Oryzias latipes: one gene and its partner. The main gene of each other region encodes a partner of the protein of the gene in region 2 in a complex. Links are inferred from orthologs where the notes say so. Each region holds a gene or a part of one and is shown on either strand. Other genes may lie near its edges.

Region 1 (4,900 bases), on a different chromosome or scaffold from region 2:
TATAAAATAAAAGATGCAGCGGCGCGGGATGCAGAGTTTGTTATTTAAGCTTGAAAAAGACGATGACTTTACCGTCAATAACAAACGTGAAGAGCAACTATTGATGGGGGGCTACCTATGGAAGGAGAGCCACTTGATTCCGTCACAGAGCACCACTCCTGATGTCATCAGCAGCTCTGCAAAGAACAGCGTCTCGATGCCTTCTTCCTCGTGCTTCTTGAACTGAATTCCTGAAGTGGTCAGGAGCTCGATGGAGTCCTGCGCGTACATGTCCTCTCTGGTTAAAACAATAAATACATAAATGAAATAAATAAATAAAACACATCTCTGTTTCTAAGCTTCACGCTTTCATTCCAAAAAAACAACAAACAAAACGCCACAGAATAACCATTAAAAAACTTAAACTTTGTAGGTTTGCTCAGCAAAGAGGGAAACCTTCAAAAAAAAACTTAAGGCAGGAATAGATCGACTAGGATCTGACTGGATGCTGGAAAAAGTGCAAATTCTTCCATTTGGGAACGATGGACAGAATAACGCTTGACTTTGAAAAGCATCGTTGAACCCACGGGGGACCAATCGTGTGAGAAGGGATGAAAGCGCCGCTCTTATTCTGAAAGACAAATGCTTCTCCTGTAAGCCCCGCCTCCTCCGTCCCAGAACATCCACCATGGATTTCTCCAAGAATCTTTAGATGTTTTACATGATTCACAAAACAAACATAACTTAAAATTTTTTTTAAAAAGCCACCCAAGCTTACGTAAAAAAAGTAAAAAAAAACCCCATCTGTTTAACAATAAAAAACAATTAAAAAAACACCTGTGCTTCCTATTTAGAGCATGCATTATTGCTATTTTTTTCATTAATTACTTGTATTTTTCAGGCAGCTTTGATCTGTTTTTTTTTTTTTAAATATAAAAACTCCTATTTTCATTCAGGATGCTTTCTCTTCGATTAATTTAAATCCCCTTTGTGCGCCTACCCCCTCTGATAAAAAAAATGTAAGTTGTGTTTTTGGAGGGCTTAACATGTGGTGGTGGTTTTTTTTTTTGATGATACATAAAGAAAATTAACCTTCGTCTTCCTCGTCTGAGCTGGCTCGCCCTTTTTGTTGCACCGGTCAATATCAGGTCAGGCGGTATGAGGGGGCTGTAAGCTACCGGGAGATTGTGTAAACAGAGAGCTCTCAGCAACAAGGAAGGAGAATAAAGGGTAGAAACTGCAGAAACTATATCCAGGAAAATGACAACTTTTTTTTGTGTGTGGCTAAAATACGGAATAACCATAATTTAAATCTGATTGGGAATGCTTTTAAAATAGATCAAAGGCATATAGGACTTTAATGTGTTTTGAATTGAATTGTTTTTACAGATTGTGAAGTCGTTCATGGGAATCCAAGCGGACGAGTCTGTTTAGACATAGTGAGAGACTCACGTGAGGCTAAACTTAAAGTTGAACTGCCACGTTGACGTCCCGGGGGGGTACTCTCCCTGCTCGTTCATGAAGGTCAGGCCCAGCTGGATGATCTTCAGCAGGTCCACGTTGCAGCGCAGCAACTGGTACTGATAGTCGGCATTGCTCCGGAACTCTCCGATGGGTCGGGCTACAACTCCTGGAAACTCTGTGTCCTGAAAGAGGCAAGAACGAGGGACCGTGGACACCAGTGACAGTGGGTGGGTGGGAGGATGGATAGATGGATGGATGGATGGATGGGTGGGTGGGTGGGTGGGTGGATGGATGGATGGATCGATGGTTGGGTAGGTGGATGGATGGATGGGTGGGTGGATGGATGGATGGATGGGTGGGTGGATGGATGGGTGGGTGGATGGGTGGGTGGGTGGGTGGATGGATGGATGGGTGGGTGGATGGGTGGATGGGTGGGTGGATGGATGGATGGGTGGATCGATGGTTGGGTAGGTGGATGGATGGATGGATGGATGGATGGGTGGGTGGGTAGATGGATGGATGGATGGATGGATGGGTGGATGGGTGGGTGGGTGGATGGATGGGTGGGTGGATGGGTGGATGGGTGGGTGGATAGGTGGATGGATGGATAGGTGGATGGATGGATGGATAGGTGGATGGATAGGTGGATGGATGGGTGGGTGGATGGGTGGGTGGATAGGTGGGTAGGTGGATGGATGGATGGGTGGATGGATGGATGGATGGGTGGATGGATGGATAGGTGGGTGGATGGATAGGTGGATGGATGGGTGGGGTCTCTGAGCATCTCTCACCATTGCGATGTAGTTGTACTTTCGGATGACGTGCCGGATTCTCTTGAGCTCCTCTTCCAGGTTACTGGCCCAGACCTCACATATTCTTTGGCTGTGGTCTACAGTGGCTGCGGGCATAGTGCCACTTCACCACGCGTGGAGATGGGGGGCGGGGGATGATGAGAGCATCATGAAAACACAGACAAAGCAGCCGAAACCACATGAAAAGAGCCGCTTAGTTAGTAGTAGAAGTCATGTGTGTTTTAGCCGCCTGCTAGCTCGTAATTTAAAGCAGCACTGTTGCTAGCTTGTTACCTGTTAACAGTTAGCGGGTTGGAGGTAAAACTTCCGAACAAGAGGAGTGGCGACTGTGCGGTTTTCTCACACAAAACATTAGTTTCGATCAACTACACAGGAGTGGTTGTACAACAGGACAGGCACGAGTAAGTAGCAGCAGTGCGCGCGCGCGCACACACGCCGGGGCGTCACTTCTTTTCTTTTTTTTTTTTTTGGGAGACTGCAAAGGTTTTGTTTCGTTGACTCACCGTTCCCCGAAACGGGCGCGCGCGTGTTTGAGCGTGTGCTATCTGAAAGCTGGCCGTGTGTTCTGTGATATCTGTCAGCAGGGAGGGGAGGGGGGTGTTCCGCCAACTTTGAAATACTTTTATATTCAGTGGGGCTTGATGTCAACCTACGGCTGCCATCACAGCGGACCCCACACAGTGACGTCATTACGTAAAGTGAAACGTCAGGACGTAAGGACGTTTCAGGATCCTCATCCGTAAAATGTGAAAAAAGGTTTTCCAATAAATGTTTGTAAAGAGGAATATATAAATTTTAAAAAGTACAAATAAACGTTATATATTTCTTATTAATTACTAATTTATTCAAGGTGAACAGGCTCTCGTTGAAAGTGTATATATAATTATTTTCAAAGGATATATTATTTTTAAAAATTATACTGTACAGATTTTTTTTATTTTTTCACAAAATATATTTTCTTTTCAATTTATATTAAAGTAAAATAAACTTTTTTTTGCCCCTAAAGTTATATTATTTTGGTAAATTACTGAAAAAGTTTTACACAAATAAAAATGTTAGCCATGAAACCAAAAAGGCCACATTTTAAATTCAAGTAAAACATGATGCAGAGATAAATTCGTTTTTCAAATCACTTGTTTTAATAAAAAAGTACAATTTTCACAGACGCATCATAATCCAACGTTCGCATTTTTGTTGATTTTGATCATTTTATGACCACTCTAAGATGAAAAAAAAGAATGCATATGATTGACATCTTTAAGGGAAACATTTTCAACAAATATGGACTAGAGGACATTTAGGGTGAAAAAGATTTTACCTTTAACTTTTATTGTTGAACACAAACCCTCAATAACCAATATGTTGTGTAAATGCCCTTATAATTTTTCATACCTTATGTAATTTTTGTAATGTTTAATTTTTTTCTATGTTATCTGTATTTCATTCTTTTTCTTTTTCTTTGACCTTTAACCCCTCATCCCGTAAGTTAGTAATTCATAACATTTCATTTTCTCCAGCACTTCATTCACAAAGGAAGTTTTTTCAACATTGAGAATAAATTCGGGCATGAAGTATTTTACACAGCTGCAAAAATGATGACACCAGTGGTTCTTTTTGTGATGCCAAACCTGAAACTATGACCCACATTTTCTTGATTTGTACACATCCTCAGGTAGGATGTGTACTTTTTAAAACAAAATAATTTATTTATAAACATATTGTTGCTTCACTTCCTCATCTTCTATTTATTTGCAACACAAAGACAAAATGGGACAATCTCCCACTATGTAATTTTTTCTAAAATAAAAAAAATCAGTGGCTAATATAAGATTACAAAAAAATCGTTTTTAGTAAATATTATTGCATTTAGGCTGCACGGTGGCGCAGTGGTTAGCGCTCTTGCCTCACAGCAAGAAGGCCCCCGGTTCAAGTCCCGGCTGGGGGACGTGAAAAACAGAACATCAATGGGGGACCTTTCTGTGTGGAGTTTGCATGTTCTCCCCGTGTATGCGTGGGTTTTCTCCGGGGTCTCCGGCTTCCTCCCACCATCCAAAAACATGCTTCATAGGTTAATTGGCAACTCTAAATTGTCCATAACTGTGAGTGTGAGAGTGAATGGATGTGTGATTGAGGATATTCCACCCTGCAACAGACTGGCAACCAGTCCAGGGTATCCCTTGCCTATGCCCAAGTGGCCGGGATAGGCTCCGGCAGCCCCGTGACCCCGAAAGGGAATAAACGGTTAAGAAAATGAATGAATTATTGCATTTTTCATGCTAATTTTTTCTGCAATTACTTCTCTTTATTATAATTTTATCAGTTAATGGTATTTTTCGATGCTCATACATTCCACGTTCATAAATCATTTAAACATTTTGTTATTTCGTGTTTTATTTAAAAATATGTAAATACATTTTTATAAAAAATTACATAATTTTAGATTTTATTTCTTTATGTTTACAACTGTTTGTATTTTTGTCTTAATTAATTGGAGAATCAAAAGAAGCAAAACAAATCTCAAATAATACATTTTGCAAGACATAAAAATTGATATACATATTATCAATATCTCATTTTAGATTGATTTAAAACTTTATTTAATTTGCAATATCATCGTTAAAAATGTTATAATATTGAATCAAAAC
Region 2 (4,670 bases):
TGTTGTAATTCATCGATGCTGTTATTTTATTTTGTTCTGCATCCACATGATTGCGTTTGCACCTGATTTCAGATTAAACCGGTTCAGTGTGGGACACACTTGTGGTTTCATTTGAATTTGTCATATCCATCCATCCATCCATTTCTGTGTCACAGTGTTGTCTGTCGTAGGGCACACAATCACACACACATGCACACCTATAGGGACACTATTAGAGTAGCCAATTAACCAATGAAGCATGTTTTTAGACTGTGGGAGGGAGCTGGAGTGCCTGGAGAAAACCCACACATGCATGAGGAGAACAGGCAACTCCACAGACAAAGGTCCCAGTCGGGATTTAAACTGGGGCCTTCTCAGCACTAACCATTGTTCCACCTTGCAGCCCAGCGGCATTGTTATATTTGAACCCTGTTGAAGGGAATTTGCAGGACATGGGTGGGGGTGGTTGGGTGTGTTATGTTTTGGGGATGGCTCCCATCCTCGTCTCCTTGATTAGCTGTTTCCTCTATGTTCTTTCTTAACTCCATCTCTGCCTCTTTTTCTTCACGTTGTCTCCTTATTATTTGAAGTTTCCATTAATCTGTTTTAGTTCCTCTGTTTCTTCTTCTACCTCGCCTCACCTTTCCCTCTCCTGTCCATTGGAGAACAAGGAACAGTTTACCTTTAACTTGCATCTGGTATTTCATTTCTCACTGAGGTTATTGTAGTTAACAAGAAAAAACCAAACTAGATGTGATAAGGCACAAGAAGGAGACAGAGGCTTTGGGTAAGTAGCTCAATGACACCTGTGTTGACACCTTGATGCTACAAGACACAATCTCCAGCAGCTGCTCAGAGATCCGCCCAGCCTGCTGAAGAAAGAGGCGCACCATCAGACTGACCATAGCCACTGAGGAGAAGGACTGGAAGATACAGTTGAGGAGGAGGAGGAGCAGCATCATCAGGTGTCACTGAACTAATCCATGCGTATACCCCTGCAGGACTTGGAGAAGAAGCTGGATGTGTGCCGATCCTCATTGACGAGGCAGCTGTTGACCCAAAAGGAAAAGAGCAAGGAAGTCAGAAAAGAATCTTGCAAATAACAGGAGCAGACTGATCAGCTGAGCAGATACATCCTAAAGAGTTTCTGACTGTTTCATTCTCTGCCTTTTACTGACAGACAGATATTGGAAGTGGAGAAGTTCCACTATTGAGCTCATTTAATGAAGCCACAGAACTGTCTTCTACCTGATCAGCAGCCTGACTCGATAGGACGGATGTTAGATTTTGTTAATAAAGTTTGTTTATACTTAACTACAAATAAAGTTTATTCAAAATAAAAAAAGACGGCGCGTGCTCTCATTCTTACCATGGACAGTTACTTCCAAAGGGGGCGCTGTTGACAAACCGTGCGCTGGTGTCGATGGCGCCAGTGACCGAAGAAGAACCAAGAGAAGCGGCTACAGCAGTCAGTCACTGAAGCCGACCACAAACAGAGCTGGTCCGGTTCGTGTAAAACTCTTTCCAGTTGGATATTCAGGATTTCCTCTTCCCGGCGTTGTTCTTGTGTTCTCCTACAGCTCCGCGGCTGGATTGTGGATGAAGACCCGGGAAATGGCCGAAAACTCCGGTGGGTGTTCCGGCTGATGATGCTACTAACTAGCTGCTGCTCAGTTAGCGGCTGCTTCTGCATGATGATGATCCGTCAGTGTAGCTGAAACCCCCCCAAAAGACATTAGAGGTAGCCCGACAGCCCCGTGGCAGATCCAGGACTCCCAGGTAACCGTCCCGAAGTTGGGGTGCAGATAATACTGAGCAGACTGTGGTTAGATCAAAGTTCTTGAGGTGATCCAAGCAGGTCCTGCTGCTCATCATGGAACTATGACAGGACAGACCATAACTCAGACACAACACCACGTATGAAGGAACCCCAGCTTGGCCATGAACAGACGCGTCCCACAATAAACTGAGAGAAGGTCATTACGTCGTCATACACGTGACATTCTTTTGCTAAACTTAAGGCTACAATATCTGCCTTAAATGAGAGGGATTTTCAGAAATGGTCTTAGGAAGTTACCATGTGGGGTCTGAAGCCTCCAGAGTGAGAGGGAAGGACTGCAGAGACATGGCGCCCTTTGGGTTCTGGTTGAGCCACGCATTCCGTCCTCAGGTGGAACTCAGAGGGTTTGATGTCTCCTCTGTTGCAATTTCAGCCGAACGCAACGAGGAGAAGCATGACGGCTCGGGTGTGACGGGCATGAGCGACCAGGAGAAGGAGCTGGCCTCGAGTGCGTACGAGTGCTTCTTGGTAAGTCCGTCTCTCTTCGGATCGTCAGCAGAACAGGTTTTGGTGCATGTGGTGGAGGCTGGAGCTGGGTAATGCCACACGACGTGAAGCCTCTGTGTCTCACAGGCTGGACGGTACGAAGAGTCCATGAAGCACCTGGAAGCCCTGCTGGAGTTCAACAAAGAGGACTACAAGATCGCCATGAACAAGGCCGTCACAGAGTTCTACAGGAGCAGTCAGACCACCACGGGCACTTTGAGGCAGACGCTGATGGCCATGAAGAACCGGGTAACAGCAGCTCACCGACACCTGCACTCTAATACGTTATGAGACGTTTGATTGGCCGACTGTGTCCGCCAGCTCCACTCATCGCTGACGGAAGACGCCGATGGCCTGGACGACGTGGAGAACAGCCTGCTGTACTACAATCAAGCGGTCATCTGTTACCACTTGAAGCAGTTCTCTGAGGCCATTTCCATTGGAGAGAAGCTCTACCAGTTCTTGGAGCCGTTTGGTGAGTAGTCAGCAGGGCAGACTCCCCGCCTGCCGCTGTCTGTGGCACAGGTGCATGCTCTGCTCTGCGTCTGGACGTTCACATGGGGGTCACTGAGGTCACATTGTGAGAACACTGGGGTCCTGTTGTGTCCCAGAGAGGTCTGTTTCAGAAATGGAGAGTCCCTGCAGCCTCATTGATTATGGACCTGGAGTGTTTGACGACGCTGAAGTTGGCTTCCGATTCACAGCTTCCAATTCTCCAGGGGACTAAAGGAACATTCCACGGCATTTTTCACATGAAGGCCACGTAGAACCGGTTCCTCTTCAAACCCCACAGGGCCTGGACTGCTCAAACCTGGATTCCATTATGATTTAAATAGTAAATACATTAAACACAGATGTGGAGAAGTCTTCATGAATGTCCAATGAGGTTTAGTGCATGGACACACCATCTTTGGTCATGTGACCCTAAGGTCTGTGCTGAGCTCAGTTGACGAGTTTTCAGCTCCCTGGTAGTTGCTCTTCAACCAGATTCTACAAACTTCTAGCTTTTCCAATAATGGGAAATGTCAGATGTTGGGGGGGGCACACCCAAAGTCACCTGTCAGTCACCAGATCACGCCTCCTTTTTGATCCCAAATACCCTCAAATGGAAGCATCGTCTCCATTGTAGTGTCTGTAAATGTAATGAGAGGTCAAACCTGGATTTATGCTGGTGCTGCCTTTTCTGATGTAAACATCCCAGCTTTCTTTGTGATCTGACCAATCAGCTGATACTTTTCTTTTCAAACCAGCTTCAATGATGAAGTTAAAAGTCTTGGTTTGAGCCACATCTTCAGGCTGTCCATCTTCAGACGGCATGTTGTGCAGCAGGATCTGTTCTCAGCGCCTGTGGGTTCAGCTTTTTTCTGCAACGTTCTGTCTGAAAGCTCCTGTGATGGATCAAGTTCCCACAGTCACCGTCCTGATCCTCAGGGACGCGTCCCGCACAGTCTGACCCAACAGGAAGCCTGCTGGTGCAGACTGGACTGGGGGGGATTGCTCCATGCATGGCGTGCCTTACATCAGGTCTGCTCTCGGCTGTGTGTGTAAAGACTTTTTCATTTGTCCCAGAAGAGAAGTTTGCTCAGGCCGTCTGCTTCCTCCTGGTGGACTTGTACCTGCTGACCTTCCAGCCAGAGAAGGCGCTGCACCTGCTCGCCGTGCTGGATAAGCTGTCTGCTCAGGGCGGCAGCAGGAACGGGAAAGGAGAGGTAAGCGGCGCCGGCAGTGTGATGAAGAGACGCCTCATTTACAGGAGGAGGCTTTGTTCTACTTAGATTTGTTTAACCTTTTTCTGTCCCTTAGGTAAATGTTAAACCTTAAATCCTAATGATTTACAAGAACAAAGATGTTGAAAAGCAGAGTTATGGTATCTTTCGGAGTATAAATAGCTTTTTAGTTTGGGCAGGGGTGTGACTTATACTCAGGAGCAAATGATATATGTGATTTAAAAAAACTGTTTTTTAAACTGAGTCTGAAGAGACGGAAGCACCATTCAGACGCAGCTCCTGCAGCAGACGGTGAAGCTCACCGTCCTGGGAGAATCTGTGAACGATGTCATGGAGCGGCTGTGACTACAGAGCTCTTCAAAAGTCTACCAAAAGTTAGACTTGCAGTCCAGAGCCACTTGTAGTCTGTGAAGTACTGGAGTTAGTTTCTCTGCAGTTTTCTTTTCCTCACTCCAGCCGGTTTCAGGCTGCAGTGACGGCTCGTGCGGCTGCTCTCTGGGCCTCTTCATGACAGGCTGCAGTTTTTTTACTCTTTTAAAGCTGCCTCTCTTGCTGCTCGCTGTTTTAGGAAATGCATGGCAGCAGCTGACGCGTCACTGTCGACCTGCCTCCTTCCTGTGGGTTAGAAACGGAATGAA

What was found.
Region 1: cnot10 (region 2) and CCR4-NOT transcription complex subunit 7 share a complex: the UniProt entries of both Homo sapiens proteins name them as parts of the CCR4-NOT complex. The link is inferred for Oryzias latipes from reciprocal best matches to the Homo sapiens genes CNOT10 and CNOT7.

Annotation. Positions count from the first base shown.
Region 1 is NC_019868.2:26,784,272-26,789,171, forward strand, and holds the start of CCR4-NOT transcription complex subunit 7, read right to left. Parts: upstream 2,961-4,900; 5' UTR 2,759-2,960; exon of another isoform or gene 2,529-2,758; intron 2,359-2,528; 5' UTR 2,352-2,358; coding exon 2,235-2,351; intron 1,626-2,234; coding exon 1,432-1,625; intron 278-1,431; coding exon 116-277; intron 1-115. UniProt on the Homo sapiens protein: Has 3'-5' poly(A) exoribonuclease activity for synthetic poly(A) RNA substrate. Its function seems to be partially redundant with that of CNOT8.
Region 2 is NC_019874.2:7,745,677-7,750,346, forward strand, and holds the start of cnot10 (CCR4-NOT transcription complex subunit 10), read left to right. Parts: upstream 1-1,382; 5' UTR 1,383-1,578; coding exon 1,579-1,609; intron 1,610-2,192; coding exon 2,193-2,287; intron 2,288-2,392; coding exon 2,393-2,554; intron 2,555-2,626; coding exon 2,627-2,780; intron 2,781-3,874; coding exon 3,875-4,014; intron 4,015-4,670. UniProt on the Homo sapiens protein: Component of the CCR4-NOT complex which is one of the major cellular mRNA deadenylases and is linked to various cellular processes including bulk mRNA degradation, miRNA-mediated repression, translational repression during translational initiation and general transcription regulation.